Elephas maximus indicus: one gene and its partner. The protein of the gene in region 2 interacts with the protein of the main gene of each other region in a pairwise test. Links are inferred from orthologs where the notes say so. Each region holds a gene or a part of one and is shown on either strand. Other genes may lie near its edges. The genes, in order: CCDC146 and myomegalin.

Evidence for each region.
Region 1: the proteins of myomegalin (region 2) and CCDC146 interact in binary tests that used the Homo sapiens proteins (3 or more experiments, as listed by UniProt). The two-hybrid records come from large-scale screens. The link is inferred for Elephas maximus indicus from reciprocal best matches to the Homo sapiens genes PDE4DIP and CCDC146.

What each region holds. Positions count from the first base shown.
Region 1 is NC_064826.1:46,802,583-46,814,687, reverse strand, and holds the start of CCDC146 (coiled-coil domain-containing protein 146), read right to left. Parts: upstream 5,101-12,105; 5' UTR 4,982-5,100; intron 1-4,981. Other genes in the region: protein FAM185A, read left to right, coding at 5,640-6,090. UniProt on the Homo sapiens protein: Essential for sperm flagellum biogenesis and male fertility.
Region 2 is NC_064821.1:159,485,169-159,497,355, reverse strand, and holds the start of myomegalin, read right to left. Parts: upstream 4,460-12,187; 5' UTR 4,311-4,459; coding exon 4,075-4,310; intron 1-4,074. UniProt on the Homo sapiens protein: Functions as an anchor sequestering components of the cAMP-dependent pathway to Golgi and/or centrosomes.

The DNA of each region.
Region 1 (12,105 bases), on a different chromosome or scaffold from region 2:
TGATCAAACATGCAATCAATATGCATTGATAATTGCTGGTGATTGGAATGTGAAAGTTGGAAATGATGAAGAAGGATTGGTAGTTGGGGAATACGGCCTTGGTGACAGAAAGGATACCAGAGATCCCATGAAAGAATTTTGCAAGACCAAGGACTTCTTCATTGCAAATACCTCTTTTCAAAATATAAATGGCAACTGTACACGTGGACCTCGCTAGACGGAATACACAGGAATCAAACTGACTACCTTTGTGGAAAGAGACAATGGAAAAGCTCAATGTCATCAGTAACAAGGCCAGGGCCTAACTGCAGAACAGACCATCAATTGTTCATATGCAAGTTCAACCTGAAGCTGAAGAAAATTAAAACAAGTCCATGAGAGCCAAAATATAGCCTTGAGTATATCCCACCTGAATTTGGAGACCATCTCAAGAATAGATTAGATGCACTGAACACTAATGACTGAAGACCAGATGAGTTGTGAGAAAGCACCAAGGACATCATACACAAAGAAAGCAAAAGGTCATTAAAAAGACAGGAAAGAAAGAAAAGACCAAAATGGATGAGAAGGGACTCTGAAACTGCTTTTGAACGTCGAGTAGCTAAAGTGAATGCAAGAAATGATGAAGTAAAAGAGCTGAACAGAAGATTTCAAAAGGCAGCTTGAGAAGACAAAGTAAAACATTAGAATGAAATGTGCAAAAAGATCTGGAGTTAGAAAACCAAAAGGGAAGAACATGCTTGGCATTTCTCAAGCTGAAAAAACTGAAGGAAAAATTCAAGCCTGGAGTTGCAATTTTGAAGGATTCTATCAGCAAAATACTGAATGACACAGGAAGCATCAAAAGCAGATGGAAGGAATACAGAATTACTGTACCAAAAAGAATTGGTTGATGTTGATCCACTTCAGCAAGTAGCATTTGATCAAGAACCAATGATACTGAAGGAAGAAGTCCAAGCCACGCAGAAGACACTGGCAAAAAACAAGGCTCCAGGAATTGACTGAATGCCAATTGAGATGTTTTAACAAATGGATGCAACGCTGGAGGTGCTCACTTGTCTATGTCAAGAAATTTGGAAGACAACTACCTGGCCAACCGACTGGAAGAGATTCATATTTATGCCCATTCCAAAGAAAGGTAATCCAACAGAATGTAGAAATTATCAAAAATACCATTAATATCACTCCCAAGTAAAATTGTGCTGAAGATCATTCAAAGCAGTTGTAGGACATTGACAAGGAACTACTAGAAATTCAAGTTAGTTTCAGAAGAGGATGTGGAATGAGGGAAATCACTGCTGATGTCAGATGGCTCTTGGCTGATAGCGGAGAATACCAGAAAGATATTTACTTAATGTTTTATTGATTACGCACAGGCATTTGGCTGTGTGGATCAGAACAAACTATGGATAACACAGCGAGAAATCGGAATTCCAGAACATTTAATTGTTCTTATGCGGAACCTGTACTTAGAACAAGAGGCAGTCGTTCAAACAGAACATGAGGATACTAAGTGGTTTAAAATCAAAAAAGGTATGTGTTGGGGTTGCATCCTTTCACCATACTTATTCAATCTGTATGCTGAGCAAACAATTCGAGAAGCTGGACTGTATGAAGAAGAATGTGGGATCAGGATTGGCGGAAGACTCATTAACAACCTGTGATATGCAGATGACAGAACCTTGCTTGCTGAAAGTGAAGAGGACTTGAAGCACTTACTGATAAAGATCAAAGAGTACAGCCTTCAGTATGGATTACATCTCAACAAAAAGAAAACAAAAATCTTTACAACTGGACCAATAAGCAATGTCATGATAAATGGAGAAAAGACTGACATTGTCAAGGCTTTCATTTTACCTGGATATTAATCAATGCCCATGGAAGCAGCAGTCAGAAAATCACATGACGTATTTTATTGGGCAAATCTGCTGCAAAAGACCTCTTTCAAGTGTTAAAAAGCAAAGGTATCACTTTGAGGACTAAGGTGCACCTGGCCCAAGCCATGATATTTTCAATCACTGCATATGCATGGGACAGCTGAACAATGAATAAGGAAGAATTGATGCCTTTGAATTATGGTATTGGCACAGAATAGTGAACATACCATGGACTGCCAGAAGAACAAACAAGTCTGTCTTGGAAGAAGGACAGCCACAGTGCTCCTTGGAAGCAAGGACAAAGTCTCACATACTTTGGACACATTATCAGGAGGGACCAGCCCCTGGAGAAGAACATCCTGCTTGATAAAGTAGAGGGTCAGGGAAAAGAGGAAGACCCTCAATGAGATGGACTGACAAAGTGGTTGCAACGATGGGTTCAAGCATAACTAAGATTGTGAGATGGCGCGAGATCAGGAATGTTTCACTCTGTTGTACTTAGTGTTGCTATGAGTTGTAACCAACTCAAGGGCACCTAACAACGACAACATGCTTATTGCTAAATTGTCCTTGGGAAAGTTTGTACTAACTTATACTTCAACCAGTAGTATGTTCATAACCTCAGGAATGGCTTTTTTTTTTTTTTTTTAAGTGAAGAGGTAAAAATACAAATATTTTTGTATTTGAGAAAATTTAAATATGACTCTCCATTCATATAGTGAATAATTTATTTCCTTCAAAGGTGTCAAGAAGATAGAAGGATCTTTTTTTGCGTCAGAAAAAAGAGTCAGACAGTATAGTTGTTTAACCTTAAGTGTTTTTTAAATCCGTTTCCTCATCTCTAATGTGAGGATGTTTAAATCTGTCCTAGTAAACCCAGTGTTTTGTGAGGATACAGTGAAATAACGCATGTGAACATGCTTTGAAACTATAATGTTATGGCAGTGTAATGGATTGCTTTTTGTGTGCCTTTCTAGCCATGGTCTTGTAACTCCCACTAGGTGATTGGGTGGGATCGTGTGATATGGTGATTGTGACCCACTAAATGGATTGGTCAGTTTCACCATCCTGCTGGGATTGAAACGAGCCACCCCAGAGGCAGGAAAGAGAAGAGCCCACCACCACCAGGGAAGAAGAGACCGGTAGGAGAGACCCACAGGAGATACCCTCAGGAGATGGCACAGTGGGCTTCACGGCCCATGGAGCAAGAAAGATGAGTGTCTGTGGGCAGAGATTGAGCGACCAGGGAAAAGCCTATGCCTGGCCCACGAATTTTGGATTTGCCTGCCTCCACAACCTCATGAGCCATTTGCTTTACATGGCTGGTTCCTGAGTTCTCTGAGATGTTGTAGACAATTAGGGAACCTAAAGACAGGAGGGAGAGTGCTGAAGGGAAAGGGCGTAGCTGATGTTAGAGATGATGGAGTAGTACAGAAGCTTGGAAAAGTTGGATATTTGGGACATCTTTAACCTCCACCTTATAGGAACCAGCTTTGTGCTGATTCTTGTAAAAGAAATTATTTGTTTAGTTATATAGATGGAAAGTAGTATTTTAATTTATCATTATTGATATATGCACAAGATTGGGTAGATGATTCATTAGACTGCTGTTTCTTTAAGTATCGTTAACCTTAATATCTTATATCAATCTTAATATCAATAATTTTCTCCATTTTCAACCTCAACATGATCAGAAAGGTGATTTTTAAATCAATTTTATTTAGTTTTCTTTTGTTTACTTGAGAAGAGAGAAACAATGATTATGCTACATAGCCAATTATGGCTCAGTTTCCAATTCCATTAATTTGGTTTGTCTCAGAAAAGGAAAAATTAGCATAGAATTATGTATTAAGGATTCATTTTAAATCTAAGAATATCTCGTACTTATACACAAAATTTGAGTGTATTCCCAACTTGTTTACATCAGTGCCTAACAGTTTTGTTTTCAATGTCAATAGATTTTCATAAAAAAGATAGTTTGAAGAAGGTCAGTCTGAAAAATTATGACCAGATGAAACACAAAGCCAAGGAGAAAATTAGTATTCAGTGGGCACTTGCTAAATCTAAAAGCTAGCACTCATCATGCCTTCACTAAAGGAGGAAAAATAAGAAGGGAGGAAGGACTAGCAAGACATAAAGGAGAAAAAAATAACTTAAAAAATACTAAATTTAAAAAAAAAGGTAATGTCTACCAAACAACCTTGCATCTTGGGCCCATGAAGTTGTTAGCCCAGACTATCTGCCTGCCTCGGTATCACTATTGCTCTCAAAAATTCTGCACTGCACTTGGCCAAGACTAAAATTACTGAAGGCATTCAGTTTCAGCACTTGCATTTTATTAAATCTCATTGTTTGCAGGGTGTCTTTGCTAAAGGGAATAATTTGCAGGAGGAGGTTGGAGCACAGAAAGGGAGAGACCAGGAAGAAAAGGAGATAAATCTTTGTCTTTCTTATTGCCCATAGAATAATAAAACGTAAAAGAGATCTTACAGAGTCATTTAGTACAATCCTTCACTCTAAAGCTGAAGAAACAGATCCAGGTGACACAAAGAGATCAATGGCAGACTCAGGAAAAAAAATCTGCTCTTCCCACAGCACCACCTTGACTCTCTTTTTTGTATCTTATTTTAGCCCCCAAACCGAGGACCATTAGTAATTAAAAAGATCAATATCGCTGCCAAAAACAGTCCTGATCTTTCAGGTTTTTCTTTGTAACTAAGAGACTGTGCTATCCCTAAAATAAAACATTGCAGTTTTGTAGGCTGTGCAACGTGTTTGTATTCATTATCTCATTTGATCCTCACAAAGACCCTGTGAGGGAAGGCAAAAAAGATATTATTGTCCCCATTTTAAGAATGAACAATTAATGGCCAGAGATGTCCAATGACTGGCCTAAGGGCACCTAGACTCAGGAAGGTGCCAAGACTCTAACGCTATTCCTAAATTTGCTACCAGAGAGGAAACTTCCCTCCACCCAAAACACCAATCTGGCTCTTTATCCTCTTGCCTAGGAAGTTTCCATCCCCAGAGGCGCTGCACTAGTTTAGGAAAGCTTGAGTCTAACCACCCACAGAGGATACTCCTAGTTTGATTCTAGTTCTCACCTTTAAAAGCGCAGTTTCTTATCCTTTCCCTTGGTCCTGCTCCTTATTTAGGCTCCTATTTTTATCTTTAGTTTTGGCCCCCTGGGTCTCACTTCAAAGCTCCACCCTCTCCAAAGAAGAACTCGCGTCCTAGGTATCCAAGGAGACCACACACACGCACACGGACTTGCCCACCTTTCCCCTTCAGCGCTTTCCATTGGTCAGATGGATTTCCATCTAGATTCTTTCGCCCCTCCAATGGCCAATGGGCTCGAGGCAAAGAGAGCGCGCCTTCCGTCCCAGTTCAAAACGTGCTCTCAGTTCGCTGTCTACGCTGCGAATTGCCTCCTGCGATTTGTAGTTTCCGATCTGGTCAGAGCCCTTGCATGTGTAACCGTGTAGAACTACCTATCCCGTCGGCCTTCGCGAAAGGGGAAGGGGTGAACTAGGAGTCCAGGTCAGGGTTGATTACTTAGAGCTTTGAAATTTCAACTTGCCTCTGCGGCTTGTGCGGCAGAGGTTTAAATCTCCCAGCAGAGTTGATAGGCTTGCTCTTGCTTCAGCATGCCCTCGCAAACGTCTCTCCTTTGACTTGAGGAGGCTCAGTGGCCAAGTCAGCCGCTGCAAGTGACTCTTCCTGTGGCTGAGGGGATCTGAGGGGGCGCGAGAGAGGCATGCCATGTTCGCCCCCTGCTCAGGCTGGGGGCGCGGCGGCCTTAGGCTCTGCCAGCTCCGAGTGTGGATCGGCGAGGCCGTTGAGCGCGGCACGTGTCGGGCTTACCAGGCTCGGCTGTACGGCTCGGGCGGGTGTGAGCGCGGGCCGGGCTCGGAGCCGAAGGTGACTCCCCCTGACCCCGAGCGCCGGACGCTGAAGGAGTGGACGCTGCTGGTGAGCCCGTTCGGCCGGCTCCTGGCGCGGCTCCCGTGCGACCTAACCGTGAAACCCCTCGACCCCCTCACGTACCCGGACGCTGACCGTGTGCTGGTGGCCGTGAGCGGCGTGGAGGTCGGGGCGCAGGGCCTGGAAGGCCTGCAGGTGAGGTACGACAAGGAGCGAAAGGAGATGGCCATCGTGTCTGAGACCATCGACCCCCAGGCCTCGGTGGAGGTGGAGGCGCCCCTGAAGTTCGGCAAGTTAAAACGGTTTGGGTCCCAAGGCACCCGTAGCGAAGCTTTCCTTAAATTACGCTGACGTGCACTTTTTTTTTTTTTAATATTTATTGTGCTATAAGTGAAAGTTTACGAATCAAGTCAGTCTCTCACATATAAACTTATATACACCTTACTACATACCCCCACTTACTCTTCCACTAATGAGTCATCCCGTTCCCACTCCCTCCTTCCAGTTTCTCCTTTCCTGACCTTTTTGCCAGTTTCTAAACCCCTCTACCCTCCCATCTCCCCTCCAGACAGGAGATGCCAACATAGTCTCAAGTGTCCACCTGATGCAAGTAGCTCACTCCTCATCAGCATCTCTCGCCAACCCCCATTGTCCAGTCCAATCCATGTCTCCTGAGTTGTCTTCAGGAATGGTTCCTGTCCTGGGCCAGCGGAAGGTTTGGGGACCATTACCGCCGGAATTATTCTAGTCTTAGACCATTAAGCCTGGTCTTTTTATGAGAATTTGGGGTCTGCATCCCACTGTTCTCCTGTTCCCTCAGGGGTTCTCTGCTGTGCTCCCTGTCAGGGCAGTCATTGGTTGTGGCGGGGCACCATCTAGTTCTTCTGGTTTCAGGATGAAAGTAGTCTCTAGTTCATGTGGCCCTTTCTGTCTCTTGGGCTCATGATTACCTTGTGACCTGGGTGTTCTTCATTCTCCTTTGGGTTGAGACCAATTGATGCATCTTAGATGGCCGCTTGTTAGCATTTAAGACTCCAGACGCCACACTTCAAAGTGGGGTGCAGAATGTTTTCTTAATAGAATTTATTTTGTCAATTGACTTAGATGTCCCCTGAAGCCATAGTCCCCAAACCCCCGCCCTTGCTCTGCGGACCTTGGAAGTACTCAGTTTATTCAGGAAACTTCTTTGCTTTGGGTCCAGTCCAGTTGTGCTGACCTCCCCTGAATTGAGTGTTGTCCTTCCTTTCACCTAAAGTAGTTCTTATCTACTATCTAATCAGGAAATAACCCTCTCCCACCCTCTACCCTTCCCCCTTTTGTAACCACAAAAGAATGTGTTCTTCTCAGTTTAAACTATTTCTCAAGATGTTATAATAGTGGTCTTATACAATATTTGCCCTTTTGCAACTGACTAATTTCACTCAGCATAATGCCTTCCAGGTTTCTCCATGTTATGAAATGTTTCACAGATTCATCGTTTTTCTTTATCGATTCGTAGTATTCCATTGTGTGAATATACCATAATTTATCCATTTGTCTGTTGATGGATACCGTGGTTGCTTCCAGCTTTTTGCTATTGTAAACAGTGCTGCGATAAACATGGGTGTGCATATATCTGTTCGTGTAAAGGCTCTTAGTTCTCCAGGATATATTCCGAGGAGTGGGATTTCTGGGTCATATGGTAGTTCTATTTCTAGCTTTTTAAGGAAATGCCAGATCGATTTCCAAACTGGTTGTACCATTTTACATTCCCACCAGCCGTGTATACGAGTTCCAATCTCTTCACAGCCTCTCCAACATTTATTATTTTGTGTTTTTTGGATTAATGCCAGCCTTGGTGGAGTGAGTTGGAAACTCATCGTACTTTTAATTTGCATTTCTCTAATGGCTAATGATCAAGAGCGTTTCCTCATGTATGTGTTAGCTGCCCGAATATCTTCTTTAGTGAAGTGAATGTTCATATCCTTTGCCCAATTTTTAATTGGGTTGTTTGTCTTTTTGTGGTTGAGTTTTAACAGAATCATATAGATTTTAGAGATCAGGCGCTGTTCGGAGATGTCATAGTTGAACATTCTTTCCCAGTCTGTAGGTGGTCTTTTTACTCTTTTGGTGAAGCCTTTGATGAGCATGGGTGTTTGATTTTTAGGAGCTCGCAGTTATCTGGTTTCTCTTCGTCATTTTTAGTAATGTTTTGTATTCTGTTTATGCCTTGTAATAGGGCTCCTAACGTTGTCCCTATTTTTTCTTCCATGATCTTTATTGTTTTAGCCTTTACGTTTAGGTCTTTCATCCATTTGGAGTTAGTTTTTGTGCACGGTGTGAGGTATGGGTCCTGTTTTATTTTTTTGCAGATGGATATCCAGTTATGCCAGCACCATTTGTTAAAAACACTATCTTTTCCCCAGTTAACTGACACTGGTCCTTTGTCAAATATCAGCTTCTCATATGTGGATAGGTTTATATCTGGGTTCTCAATTCTGTTCCATTGGTCTATGTGCCTGTTGTGTACCAGTACCAGGCTGTTTTGACTACTGTGGCTGTATAATATGTTCTAAAATCAGGTAGAGTGAGGCCTCCCACTTTGTTCTTCTTTTTCAGTAATGCTTTACTTCTCCGGGGCTTCTTTCCCTTCCATATGAAGTTGGTGATTTGTTTCTCCATCACATTAAAAAATGTCGTTGGAATTTGGATCAGAAGTGCATTGTATATATAGATGGCTTTTGGTAGAATAGACATTTTTACTATGTTAAGTCTTCCTATCCATGAGCAAGGTATGTTTTTCCACTTATGTATGTCCCTTTTAGTTTCTTGCAGTAGTACTTTGTAGTTTTCTTTGGATAGGTCTTTTACATCTTTGGTAAGATTTATTCCTAAGTATTTTATCTTCTTGGGGGCTACTGTGAATGGTATTGATTTGGTGATTTCCTCTTTGATGTCCTTTTTGTTGGTGTAGAGGAATCCAACTGATTTTTGTGTATTTATCTTGTATCCTCATACCCTGCTGAACTCTTCTATTAGTTTCAGTAGTTTTCTTGAGGATTCCTCAGGGTTTTCTGTGTATAAGATCAAGTCATTTGCAAATAGAGATAATTTCACTTCTTCCTTGCCAATCCGGATGCCCTTTATTTCTTTGTCTAGCCTAATTGCTCTGGTTAGGACCTCCAGCACAGTGTTGAATAAGAGCCGTGATAAAGGGCATCCTTGTCTGGTTCCTGTTCTCAAGGGAAATGCTTTCAAGCTCTGTCCATTTAAGATGATGTTGGCTGTTGGCTTTGTATAAATGTCCTTTATTATGTTGAGGAATTTTCCTTTTATTCCTGTTTTGCTGAGAGTTTTTATCATGAATGGGTGTTGGACTTTGTCAAATGTCTTTTCTGAATCAATTAAGATCATGTGGTTTTTGTCTTTTGTTTTATTTATATGGTGGATTACATTAATTGTTTTTCTAATATTGAACCCACCTTGCATACCTGGTATAAATCCCTATTGTTTGTCGTGAATTTTTTTTTGATATGTTGTTGAATTCTATTGGCTAGAATTTTGTTGAGGATATTTGCATCTATGTTCATGAGGGATATAGGTCTGTAACTTTCTTTTTTGTGGTGTCTTTACCTGGTTTTGGTATCAGGGATATGCTGGCTATATAGAATGAGTTAGGTAGTATTCCATCCTTTTCTATGCTTTGAAATAGCTTTAGTAGTAGTGGTGTTATCTCGTCTCTGAAAGTTTGGTAGAACTCTGCAGTGAATCTGTCCGGGCCAGGGCTTTTTTTTGTTGGGAGTTTTTTGATTACCTTTTCAATCTCTTCTTTTGTTATAGGTCTATTTAGTTGTTCTACTCCTGATTGTGTTAGTTTAGGTAGGTAGTGTGTTTCTAGGAATTAATCCATTTCTTCTAGGTTTTCAAATTTGTTAGAGTACAATTTTTTGTAATAATCTGATATGATTCTTTTAATTTCAGTTGTGTCTGTTGTGGTATGGCCCATCTCTTTTCTTATTCGGGTTATTTGTTTCCTTTTCTGTATTTCTTTGGTCAGTCTGGCCAATGGTTTATCAATTTTGTTGATTTTTTCCAAGAACCAGCTTTTGGCTTTGTTAAGTCTTTCAATTGTTTTTCTGTTCTCTAATTCATTTAATTCTGCTCTAATTTTTATTATTTGTTTTCTTCTGGTGCCTGACGGATTCTTTTGTTGCTTGCTTTCTATTTCCTCAAGTTGTAGACAGTTCTGTGACTTTGCCTGTTTTCTTCTTTATGTATGTGTGCATTTATTGATATAAATTGACCTCTGAGCACTGCTTTTCCTGTGTCCCAAAGGTTTTGATAGGAAGTGTTTTCATTCTAATTGTATTGTATGAATTTCTTTATTCCCTCCTTAATGTCTTCTATAACCCAGTCTTTTTTGACGAGGGTATCGTTCAGTTTCCAAGTATTTGATTTCTTTTCCCTGATTTTTTCTTGCAACTTATTAATTTTTCCACTATGTTCTTGAATAATCTTTTTGAGTTCTTCAACTGCTTTATCAGTGTGTTCCTTGGCTTTTTCTGTAGATTGCCTTATTTCATTTCTGAGGTCATCCCTGATGTCTTGAAGCATTCTGTATATTAGTTTTTTATATTCTACATTTGGCAATTCCAGGATTGTATCTTCATTTAGGAAAGATTTTGATTCTTTAATTTGGGGATTTGTAGAAGCAATCATGGTCTGCTTCTTTATGTGGTTCGATATCGACTGCTGTCTCTCAGCCATCTATAAGATATTGTAATGATTTATATTTGCCCACTGACTCTTATCTTCTTGTTTTGTTTTGTTTCAGTATACCCAGATGGGGTACTAGATTGTGCTGTCTTGATTGTTGTAGCGGTCGAATCACTTATGTCCTATTACCAGCTGGTTTGAGCTGTTACTGGGTATATAAGCCTAAGAGTCCATTCACTATTCTTCAATAGAATCAGCTTAGGTGTTCTGATTTTGGGTCACCAAGTGTGTGGTGTAGACTGTCACCTATTAACTTAGAGGAGTAGTGGTGATAGTTGTGTGCACCAGATCCTAGTAGCGGCAGGGGGTCACACTCCAGGGCGGGCAGGGTGCTGACAGCCTTCCCCCACGTGCCAGTGAGGTAGGTGTGTCTCTATTCCTAGAGCACTTTGATGGGTGGACTCTGCAGCTGTACCTTAGGCACCCAATGCTTGTACCTCTAAAGACTGGTAGGCATCACTATCCTCAGACCCCTTTAGCAGGTGGCTAGGTGGTTTGGGTGGAGCTTCAGCTCTCAGTTCCCTGCTCTGGATCAGTGAGGGCTCTGTTTAATAGGTAGAGAGGTATCAGACCTGCTAAAACAATTACAGTCAGATCTCTATCAGAATTACCTTTGCATTATAATAGCCACCTTGTTCCCTGTAGGGATGTAAGCCAAAGACTGTGTATCTCATATGCTTGGCTGGAGCTGGTTCTGTATCTTTATTCCAGTTTAGGGAAGTTAGGGAAGGTTTTTTTTCCCCCTGGGTTGTTAGTTGCTGCTTCTCTCAGGCCAGGAGAATGGGTTAGGAAACCGCCCCCCCCCCACCCCCCCCCACCCCCCCCCCCCCCCCCCCGCAAGCACTTCACTCCCTGGCCCAGGAAATTCCAATGTTAATGAAACCACCTGGGGCAGGGAGGGGAGGGATCAGATAGATAGGAGAGAGTAGTGCGGGCAGTATAGACAAAGTTACTTATCTTGCTTGGTGATGACTGTTTTATCTGAGATTCCAGAGAAGCATAGCCTGTGTGTGCTGGCTGGGTCAGGGTTGCCCCTGAGGGTCAGGCCGGGGTCCCACACTTGCGCTGTCTCAGGAAGCCGTACTCAGCTCCTCTGCGCTTAGTCCAAAGCCAGCGCCAAGGTTTTCTGACAGGGATGCTGGCTTCAGGCTCTGAAAACAGTCGCTGCTTCTCCATGGTTGCTTGTTCTCTTGTCAGCCGCGTCAGTGTGCAGCCTGCTTGTGCCGGCTAAGTCTCTTCCGAGGTTACTCCAGGGGGTTAGGGGTTAGGGCTGTGTCCCACTTGCCCCATCTCAGTAAGCCGCAATCAGCTCCACCTCTCTGGCACCAGGGAACTGCGAGGGCTCAAGGATGTGGCGCGGGTCGCCAGTTCCAGAAGCGGTCGCTGCTTCAGGGCGTGGCTTTTCCCTTCCCTGTCACTCAGGTCAACTCTTTAGTTCTGTGTTTGATGGTCAGGGTTTGTAGATTGTCATGTATGTGATCAATTCACTTGTTTTTCCAAGTCTTTGTTGCAAGAGGGATCCACGGTAGCTTCTACCTAGTCAGTTATC
Region 2 (12,187 bases):
GAATCAACTTGATGGCAGTGGGTTATCGCTCTTTTGGTTCTTCTTTGTTCCATGGGTCATTTAAGAGTGTGTGTTGAGTTTCCAGATATTCGAGGATTTTATTCTTTCTGTTATTGATTTCGGTATTGAAATCAGAATACTGATTTCTGTTCTTTCTGTTTTAATTCCATTGTGGTCAGAGAACACACTTTCTATGGTTTGAATCCTTTTAAATTTATGGAGACTTATTGACAACTAAGCACATGGAAGCTCAACATCATTAGTCATTTGGAAAAAGCAAATCAAAACCATAATATCATTTCACGCCCACTACAATGGCTTTGGGGCCCTGGTGGCACAGTAGTTAAGTATTCCGCTGCTAACCAAAAGTTCAGCAGTTCAAATCCAGAGCCGCTCCTTGGAAGCCCTATGGGGCAGTTCTACTCTGTCCTATAGGGTCACTATGAGTCAGAATCAACTCAACAGCAATTGATTTTTTTTTTTCTATTTTTGAATGGCGATAATAAAAAAAGGTAAGAAAGTAAAAATGCTGACAAGGGTATGGACAAATGGGCATTCTCATACATTGCAAGTGGGAATGTAAAAGGTACAATCCCTTTGGAAAAAAGTTTGGCAGTTTCTTAAAAAGTTACACATATACCTTCCGTTCTACCTCTAGAAATTTACCCAAGAGAAAGAAACTGTATGTACCCACAAAGACTTGTACATAAATGTTAACAGCAGCTTTATTTGTAATGCCCAAAAACTGGAATCAACTCAACAACTAATTGTGGTATATCCATACACTGCAATACTGCTCAGCACCAAAAGAAAATGAACTATCGATACACACAACAATAAGGACAACTTTCAAAATAATTACCCTGAAGGAAGCCACATAAAAAAGGAATACATACGGTATGATTCTATTTACATAAAAGTCTAGGAAGTGCAAACTAATGTATTGTGACAGAAAGTAGATCAGTGGTTACCTGTATATTAGCACGGCAGGAAGAGATAGGAGGGAGAGATTGTAAAGAGGCAGATGAAAAGTTTTGGGGATGATATATATGTTCATCATCTTGATCATAGTGGTGATTTCATAGGTATATACATATGTCAAACTTATCAAATTGTACACTTTAAATTTATTCAGTTTATTATATGCCAATTATCCCTCAAAAGCTATAAAAAATATAATAATAACAAAAAAGAGTGAGAAAGAGAAAGAAATGGCTAGAGGAATGTAATAGTTGAAGTTTGATGTTAGGAACTTACTGAACTGTCTCTAAAATCACTTTCCCCTGAGAGCTGTCTGCTGGTTCCTGGCTATCCAAGGAGAATGTACACTCTGTTGTTATTGTTAGGTGTCATCCAGTCAGTTCCAACTCATAGCAACCGTATGTATAACAGAAGGAAACACTGCCCGGACCTGTGCCATCCTCACAATCATTGCTATGTTTGAGCCCATTGTTGCAGCCACTGTGTCAATCCATCTCATTGAGGGTATTCCTCTTTTTCACTGACCTTCTACTTTACCAAGCATGATGTCATTCTCCAGGGACTGGTCCCTCCTGATAACATGTCCACAGCACATGAGATGAAGTCTTGCCATTCTCACTTCTAAGGAGCACTCTGGCTGTACTTCTTCCAAGACAGATTTGTGTGTTCTCTGGCAGTCCAAGGTATATTCAGTATTCTTTGCCAACACCATAATTCAAACACATCGTTTCTTTTTTCATCTTCCTTATTCATTGTCCAGCTTCCACATGCATATGAGGTGACTGAAAATACTATGGCTTGGGTCAGGTGTACCTTAGTCCTCAAAGTGCTATCTTTGATTTTTAACACTTTAAAGGGATCTTTTGCAGCAGATTTGCCCAGTGCAATACATTGTTTGATTTCTTGACTGCTGCTTCCATGGGCATTAACTGTGGATCCAAGTAAAATGAAATTCTTGACAACTTCAATCTCTTCTCTGCTTATTATGATGTTGCTTATTGATCCAGTTGTAAGGATTGTTTCTTTACATTGTGGTATAATCCACACTGAAGGCTGTGGTCTTTGATCTTCATCAGTAAGTGCTTCAAGTCCTCTGCCCTTTCAGCAAGCAAGGTTGTATCATCTGTATATCACAGGTTGTTAATAAGTCTTCCTCCAATCCTGATGCCAAGTTCTTCTTCATACAGTCCAGCTTCTCAGATTATTTGCTCAGCATCTGTCTGCTGAATAGATATGGTGAAAGGATACAGCCCTGAGGCACACCTTTCCTGGTTTTAAACCTCACAGTATCCTCTTGTTCTGTTCAAATGACTGTCTCTTGGTCTATGTATAGGTTCCTCATGAGCACAATTAAGTGTTCTGGAATCTACAATGCTTCAAATAAGTACATTGAGACAGATTGTCACCATCTGACAGCTCACTTAATTCCTCATTTTTAATAATTGTATACTTGAAAGAGGGTCAGCATTGGAAAAGGTCTATCACAGAACAGGCCTCATCCAATAAGGCATTTTCCCAGGGCCATACACCTGCTAGTGCTCCTCTGCTAGGATTTGCTTCCCACCCAACCCCGGCTTCATATCTTGTCAGGCCAGCCAAGATTCATGTCCTATGTGAAGCCCTCCCTGCTCCTCGGCCTTTCAGCACCACGTCCAGATGCCATTAACCAACTGGTTCATATTGTCAGTGTGTACGGTCCCTGGGCGGTGCAAACAGTTTGTGCTCAACTAATAACTGAAAGGTTGGTGGTTTGAATCCATCCAGCCGTACCACTGAAGAAAGGCCTGGTCATCTATTTTTTTAAGATTACAGCCATTGAAAACCCCATGGAGTGAATTTCTAAACTGCAACACACAGGCCACATCCAGGTCTGCATAAGCCACCTGTGAACTCCATCCTTCCCCTTATCCCCAACTTCCCCCCATCCCCACCTTCACTCCCCTCCCTCCTTTTCCCCAGTGACCCGCTCCCTGCACCGCAGCCTGCCTTTGGCACAGGGGCTAAGGACAAGGGATTCCTTCAACTTCTTTGTGTCTGTGAATAGAGTTTCATCATTCACAAATAAAAGTGTCCTGAAAACAGAATACAGAACCAGAGACTATTTAGTTCTGTGATACTCTTTTAACCCAAATCCCAATTTTATGCATAGGAAACTGAGGCCTAGAGAAATTAAATAACTTTTCTAAAATCCCAGCGAGTTAATTGCAGCTTGGAGACAGAAACCACTGTTGCCTTGTAGTTTATATGAGTACTGTACTGACTTCCCATGAAAGAGAAAGCTAAAAATGCTACGCCAGGGAAATGCTTATTGAGAAAAAGGCACACTCTCTTCTCTAGAAAATTGTATGTCAGACAGATTTTCATCCTGCTGCTACATGAAGAAAATTTGTCCCTAATCTGTTCCCTCTTCTAAGAGCAGAGGAAGTGACCCGGTTTAGAATGGAGCTTGTCCTGCAGGACCTGGGATCCAGCCAACAGGCAGGGCTCCAGCCCTGCAGGCTAAAGGAGGTGGTCAAGGAAGAAAAAGCCATCACCAACCCCCACCCAGCTGTCTGTATCTAAGATGAATATCCAAAACAGAAGGCGGTGCAAGAGAAGGCACTGAGGACTCTTTCAGTTGTGTACCCATGACATTTCCTGATCCTTTATCTTCTTTTCCCGCCCCTAAGGCTCTTTTTAAGGCTTCCATCCTGGAATGTCCTCCTGAATCATGTTCATCTCTCCTCTCCTTTGGCTCGACCCAACAGGCACAGCCTTCAACCTCACCTCCAGCTACAAAGCCTTGTCTACATATCAAGGGAAGCCCTTGGTATAGAGACCAGGCTTCCTGAGCTTTAGGCCCAACAGTCCAGCCCCACGCTTTATTTCTAGGCAACACCGCATCACCTCTCCCCCTCTGGTGCCCATCACAGGCCCCATCACCTCTCCTGCCCTCCAACCTTCGCCAGGCAGCTGTCACTCTGCAACAACCCTTTCCAGGAACCCGGGTCCACGGCCCGCAGCCTCAGCCTACCCACAGCATGGCGTACCAACAGCCCGGTGCGATTCGCATCCTCCTGGTCTCCAAGCGCCAGAAGCTGGCGGAGCCCTCACCTCATCCAGGGTGCGGCCGCCGCGGCTGCTTCTTCCTCCTCGGCCGCCAACGCCCAGCTCCAGGACAGCTCGGAGCGCCGCCGTTCTGGGCCAGGGAAATGCCGCCGGGACGGGGGAGCTCGCCCGGCGTCCCCGGCCCAGTAAGGCGCGTGTTGCGCCCGGCGGGATACGCTGCAGCAGCTACCGTTGCAGTCACATCGGCGGCGGCAGCTGGACCCGCTGTCGGCCCTCTTCATGAATTTTTCTCTCCTGGCCTCTCCAATCCTGTTTTCCGTTCCTGCTTCGTTTTCTTATGGCTTTCCTGGGCTGCCAGGGCGCATCCCTCTGGCCGGGGATGAGCAGCCCCTCCAGTTGCCACTGTTGAGGCGGAGACCTGGCCGGATCCTGCCCTTTCACCGCTGCTTCTGCCACCTGCTCCGCCCAGATTGCTTTGGTCCGGCTCCCGCAAACACCCGCCGCTGCCCCTTCACCCTCTGTTACCTCCCCATTCTCTCTCCACCCACCACCTCAACCGGGAGATCCCTTCATTCCCAGACCCCACTCTTTTTTTTTCTATATGCTCCAATGCCACCTTCCTCAATTTCCAACCTCAGATGAGTTCCTTCTTTTCTCACCCCCTCTCTACATATTTTCCTGGCTTTTGTCTTCCTCCTTGCCCAAATCTGTTATCCTCTTATCTTTTATCCGCTTTTTTCTCTCTGTTAATCTCTCCTCAAATTCATCACTTCTCCAGGTTGTTGGCTAGCCTCTTTCCCCTTCTTTCTTCCCTTTCTCCCTCTTTTTAAGTCTCCATTTCCTTTCATTTTCCCTTTAGTAATTGTCAATAACTCTCTGCTAAACAACCCCAGTTTTCCTTTCAGCTGAGACTTTGTGATGCCATTTTTCATGAAGAAATCATAGTAAAGAATATGTCTTGGTATCCACCATCAAGTCAACGGACTGTTATCATCTGGGAAAAAAAGAAAGGGGTCATAGGTCAAATAAATCCTCTGCTAAACCCTTTTCTCCTATTCCATATGTCCTCTAGGAACAGAGACCAGCGAGAGTACAGCAAAACAGAATGACTCTACTACATTATTCTGTGTAGCACAGGGCCTACATAGAATCCACAGGGCAGCTGGATACCACGCATCCCAAGGTTCACAGGCAATAGCCATTACTGTTGAATGACTCAGTGACAGCCAAGCTGAACCCATCCTTCCACTCTAACCTGTCACTCCGTCCTCTGTTTTTTAACCCCAGCACTCCCATCCATCCAGCTGCCCAAACCTCAAACCTGGTAGTGATCAGAGACTTTTATCTTTTTCACTCATCCACCACATCCAGTTGTTATTTCTATTTCTTTACTATATCTGTATCTTTAAGTGTTCGCTCCCATCGTGATTCCAACTGCCTCTCTTAAGGCCCACCTCCAAACCCTTCTTCCCACTGCTTCCAGAGGCCTCTTCATGAAACACTCACCTACTTAAAACCATTCAATGGCTCCTTGGAGATTTTGTGATAAAGTTCTACCACTTAGTTTAGTATTCAAGGATTGTCTTGAATGGCTTCTGCCATCTTTTCTGGCCTCCTCTTCCACTGATCTCTTTCTTCCATCCTGTACCTCCACTACCTTCATTCTAACCACAGTAAACTACATCTAATTCTCTGGGTCTAAATCAGGCTCTTCCATACCTCCTTGCCTTACATTTCCTGTTTACTCTGCTTGGAATACCTGTCTCCACCTTCTTTATCTAGTTAACTCCTAAAACCCAAAAAAAGAAAAAGAAAACAACCCATTGGTGTTAAAAAAAAAAAAAAATCATTGCCATTGAGTGGATTCTGACTCATAGTAACCCTAAAGGACAGAGTAAAACTGCTCCATAGGGTTTCCAAGGAGCACCCGGTGGATTCGAACTGCTGACCTTTTTTTTTTTGGTTAGCAGCTGTAGCTCTTAACCACTATGCCACCAGGGCTTCTAACTAGACAATGCAGGTATCAATCCCGCCAACTCTTGCATGCTAAGCGAGCACTCTACTATCTGAGCTAATACGCAGATCTGTTTAGTCAATTAAATTTCATGGTGATCCCATGTGTTTTACAGAGTAGAACAGCTACATAGGGTTTTCTTGGCTGTAATCCTTATTGAAGCAAATCACCTGGCCTTTCTTCCACAGATGATGGGTGGGTTCAAATGACCAGTCTTCAGGTTAATAGTCAAGCACAAACCTTCTGTGCCACCCAGAGACCTATTTAACTCCTACTTACCCTTTAAAAAGCAATTTATGTGTTACCTTCTTAGGAAAGCCTTTCCTGATCCCTTAACCTTATGTAGGTGCTCCATCTCTATGCCTCTATAGCAGCACCCAAAGCACATCTCTGCCATTTAACACACCATTGTTGTAGATTCACTTATTTATCTTTTCCACTAGACTATTAACTTCTTAAAGACAAAGATTAGGTCTTTTTTCACTCAGTATAACCAACATCTTACAAAGCACTTGGCACACAATAAGTGTTGATAAATGTTTAAAAAGTAAATAAACATTAAAAAAATTTACCTGATAGCACGCCTGGAATAAAATAAAGGCTCAATAAATTCTGTGAGGTTATGGCTTTATTGGTGGCCTTAATGAATTGATGATGAAGGGTGTTTTGTTTAGTGTGATTAGTAACATTTATTGAACACTTGCTTCATGGCAGGCATGATTAAGCACTGATACTTATTAATAAATGAACTAAGTACTGAACTTGTACTTTCACAGTTGGATTTTTGGCCATTTTTCCTTCAAGCTTAGACTTACACTAAATATGGGATACAAGCTTCAAAAGGGCCGCACAGCACCCTAATGAAGTAAATGGAGACTGTTAGCTTTTTCTCAGTAAGTTAACGCATCAATCTTTCAATTTCTTGGCATTAAAAAAGTCTCTGAACTAGAAGAAAACCACTAATCCTAAATAAAGTCCTGGCTACCACCTTCAATCTCTCTTAAAGAAGGATCCATAGGCTATTCGTGTCAGAATCACCTAGGATGTTTGTTTAAAATGGAGATTCCTGCATCCCACCACAGAAGTACTGAATCAGAATCTCTGAGAGTGTGATAATCCTCATACTCAAGAAAAAGTATCTAAAGTTTTAAGATAAGTCAAAAGGATCATTAAGCGTCCATTCAAGATCATACTAGAGTGCTAATAATCCTGTTCATCTGCCTATTTGGGGCCATAGTTTCACCTGACTTACTATTTGCTATTGAATAGAATCCAGACTCATTGAATTTAGATATTTGTAGAAGATTAGTAAATTGCAAATCATTTTTATTCAGGAAAGATGCAAGTCATTTCTGTCTGCATAAAAAAAAAAAAAGCATAACATCAAAGGTTATAGCTTTACTGCCCAGTAAGACATTGACCCACCAGTTGTCTGTCAGTTTGTCATTCAGTGGTCACTTCCATGTTGCTGTGATGTTGGAAGTTATGCCACTGGTATTGAAAACACCAGCAGGGTCACTCATGGTGGACAGGTTTCTGCAGAGCTTCCAGACTAAGAAACACTAGGAAGAAGGACTTGACAGTCTACTTCTTAAAAACTTGGCCAGTGAAAACTTTATGAACATCAGTGGACCACTGTCTAACAGTACTGGAAGATGAGTCCCACAGTTTGTATAGTGCCAAAAGATGAGCCCCTCAGTTTGGAAAGCACTCAAAATATGACTGGGGAAGAGCTGCCTCCTCAAAGTAGAGTCAACCTTTCAGGACCTTTATTTGCTGATGTGCTATGAGAAGAAACAGCTGCAAACATCCATTACTAATCAGAATGTGGAATGTATGAATCCAGAAAAGTTGTAAGTTGTCAAAAATGTAATGAAACACTTGAAGATAGATATACGAGGCATTAGAGAGCTGAAATGGACTGGAATCAGCCATTTTGAATCAGACAACCATATGGTCTACTATGTCAGGAATGACAAATTAAAGAGGAACAGTATTGCATTCGTTGTCAAAAAGAACATTTCAAGATCCATCCTGAAGTACAATGCTGTCAGTGATAGGATAGTATCCAATGCCTACAAAGAAGACCAGTTAATATGACTATTATTCAAATTAGTGCACCAACCACCAACGTCAAAGATAAAGAAATTGAAGACTTTTACCAACTTCTGCAGTCTGAAATTGATCAAACATGCGATTGAGATGCATTGATAATTACTGCTGATAGGAAAGCAAAAGTTGGAAAGAAGGACAAGGAGTTAAAAAATATGGCCATGATGATAGAAACAACATGGGAGATCTCATGATAGAATTTTACAAGACCAATGACCTGTTCATTGGAAATACCTTTTCTCAACAATATAAATGGCAGCTATACACGTGGACTTCACCAGATAGAATACACAGGAATCAAATCAACTATATCTGTGGAAAGAGATGATTGAGAAGCTCAGTATCATCAGTCAGAACAAGACCAGGGGTTGACTGCAGAACAGGCCATCAATTGCTCATATGCAAGTTCAAGCTGAAGCCGAAGAAAACTAAAACAGGTCTAGAAGAGTCAAAATATAACCTTAAATGTATCCCACCTGAATTTAGAGACCATCTCAAGAATAGATTTGACACATTAAACACGAACAACTGAAGATCAGATGAGTTGTGGAATGACATCAAGGACATCATACATGAAGAAAGCAAGAGGTCATTAAAAAGATAGGAAACAAAGAAAAGGCTAAAATGGATGTCAGAAGAGACTCTGAAAGTTGCTCTTGGTTGTCAGTAGCTAAAGATAATGGAAGAAATGATGACGCAAAAGCGCTGAACAGAAGATTTCAAAAGCAGCTGAAGAAGACAAAGCATAGTATTATAATGAAATGTGCAAAGAACTGAAGTTAGAAAACCAAAAGGAAAGAACACTCTCAGCATTTTTCAAGCTGAAAGAATTCAAGCCTCAAGTTGCAATATTGAAGGATTCCATGGGCAAAAACATTGAATGATGCAGAAAGCATCAAAAGAAGAGGGAAGGAATGCAGTCACTATATCAAAAGAATTGGCCGACATCCAATCATTTCAAGAGATAGCATATGATCAAGAACCAGTGGTACTGAAGGAAGAAGCTCAAGCTGCACTGAAGGCACCGGTGAAAAACAAGGCTCCAGGAACTGACAGAATACCTATCAAGATGTTTTAACAAACAGATGCAATACTGGAAGTGTTTTCTCATCTATGCCAAGAAATTTGGGAGACACTTACCTGGCCAACCAACAGAAAGAGATCCATATTTGTGCCCACTCCAAAGAAAGATGATTCAACAGAATGTAGATATTATCAAACAATATCATTAATATCACACGCAAGTAAAATTTTACTGAAGATAATTCACAAATGGTTGTAGCAGTACATCAAAAAGGAATTGCCAGAAATTCAAGATGGATTCAGAAAAGGGCGTGGAATGAGGGGTATCATTGCTGATGTCAGATGGATCTTGGCTGAAAGCAGAGAATACCAGAAAGATGTTTAACTGTGTTTTACTGACTGTGCAAAGTCATTCAGCTGTGTGGATCATAACAAATTATGGATAACACTGCGAAGGATGGGAATTCCAAAACACTTAACTGTGCTCATGTGGAACCTGTACATGGGCCAAGAGGTGGTCATTGGAATAGATAAGGGGGTACTGCAGGTTTTAAAATCAGGAAACGTGTGTGTTAGGGTTGTATCCTTTCACATACTTATTTAATCTGTATGCTGAGCTGGACTATATGAAGAAGAACGCAGCATCAGGATTGGAGGAAAACTTATTTTTAATAACTTGTAATACACAGATGACACAACTTTGCTTGCTGAAAGTGAAGAGGACTTCAAGCACTTACTGATGAAGATCAAAGACTACAGCCTTCAGTATGAACTACACCTCAACAGAAAGAAAACAAAAATCCTCACAACTGGACCAATAAGCAGCAACGTCATGATAAACCGAGAAAAGATTGAAATTGTCAAGGATTTTCAAGTATTTTCAATTGCCTCATATGAATGTGAAAGGTGGACAATGAGTAAGGAAGGCTGAAGAAGAGTCGATGCATTTGAATTATGGTGCTGGTGAAGAATACTGAATATACCATGGACTGCCAGAAGAATGAACGTATCTGTATTGGAAGAAGCACAGCCAGAATGCTCCTTAGAAGCTAGGTGGTAAGACTTACATCTCACGTACTTTGGACATTAGGAGGAAAGACTCCATGGAGGAGGACATCATGCTTGGTAAAGTGGTGGTTCAGTAAAAAAGAGGAAGACCCTCAACAAGATGAATTAACACAGTGGCTGCAACAATGGGCTCAAACGTAGCAATGATTGTGAGGATGACACAGGACCAGGCAGTGTTTTGTTCCGTTGTACATAGGGTTGTTATGAGTTGGAACTGACTTGACAGCACCTATCGACAATTGACCATTTTGTTATAACTTCAAGATCTTATTCCAGCATTCTTTTCTCCACTTGACTCAGCTTTACTATCCTGCTGGTTCCTTCACCAATAACTCTTCAGTAACTTAAATTAATCTTTGAAATGTGCTCACTTTATATTTGTACGAGAGCCATGTTTTTAGCTTTTTGAAAATTATTCTTTGCATTTTGTTTGCTGAAGTTTGAGAACCACTGGTAAAGAGTGGAAGTACGTTTTACATTAAAAAAATACACAGTGCCAATAAATCTTAAAGTTCATCTAATTGAACCTTCTTAATCTTATAGAAGAAAAATATGTTAAAGATATTTAAAATGACAATTCAGAATTCCAAAAATAAATCCAATTTCACCTATCCCATTGAAAGGCAGCAATGATTCAACCCTGAAATATTGTCCTACAATTGTTCTCTTTCCCTCCAAAGCAAAGAAGAGTAAAGAATACTTAAAAGTCAAGGAAACATTTAGTCCAAAGGACTAATGGACTGCATGAACTATAGCCTCCACTACTGTGAGTCCAAAAGAAGTAGATGGGGCCCGGCTACCACTACAAACTGCTCCGTCTGGAACCACAATAGTAGGTTATGGACAGAGTGGGAAAGAGATGTAGAACAAAATTCAAACTCATAAATAAGATCAGACTTACTGGTCTGATAGAAAATGGTTGAACTTCCAAGCCTATGGTCCTTAGACACCCTTCAAACCTGGAACTATAATCACACCCAGAGATCACATTATAGAAAAAAAAAAAAAATAGCCTATAAAAAAGAACAATACCACCAGTGAGGAATGTGTACCTCAGAATAATCAACTATATGAGACCTAAAGGGCAGCATTTGCCCAAAAGCAAAGTTCAGAAGGAAAGTAGGGGACGGAAAGCTAGGCGAAAGGACATGGGAACCCCGGGAGGAAGGGGAGAGAGTGCTGACATATTCAGGGCTTTGCAGTCAATGTCATGAAACAAGCTGTGCATAAATTGTTGAGTGGGAAACTGATTGGCTCTGTAAAACTTCACCTAAACAATGAAATGTTCAAGAAAGAAAAAAAGAAATATTGTACTATTACATTCAAAGCACAATGCTAGCCACTACAGAGAAGTATAAAGAAGTGAAACAAACAATTGCTTTTGACATGTTTTCCATGTAGTTGTAGAGATAAGACATGAACTTGCGTAAACATTGCTAAGAAAACCAGTAGTAAATAACTGTCAAATGTTGTCCAGGTTATAAGTACTATTTCCTCCTCTCGCCAATCAAGTTAAATTTATTAGAATAAAAATCCCTCAGAAATTGAACTAAATTATTAACAGTTCATCAAAGATACTATCTCCTCTATATATAATTTACCTAGGGTGCTCCATTTCCTCAAGATATCTTCTTTATTCAATTCGATTAATGAAATGTTTAACACCTACTATGAGGGAGCACAAGGAGGCCTCATGGTGTAGTGGTTAAGAGCTCAGCTGCTAAGCAAATGCTGACAATTTCAATCCACCAGCCGCTCTTTGGAAACCTTATTGTGGCATTTCTACTCTGTCCTATAGGGCCATTATGAGTTGGAACTCCATGGCAAAGGGTTTGGTTTTGGTTATGAGGGAGCACAAGGCCCTAGGAATACAAAGATAAAGAACACATGGTCCTCAAGGCATTCACAGTCTAACAGGGCTTTTTTCCCCAGTTCTTTACT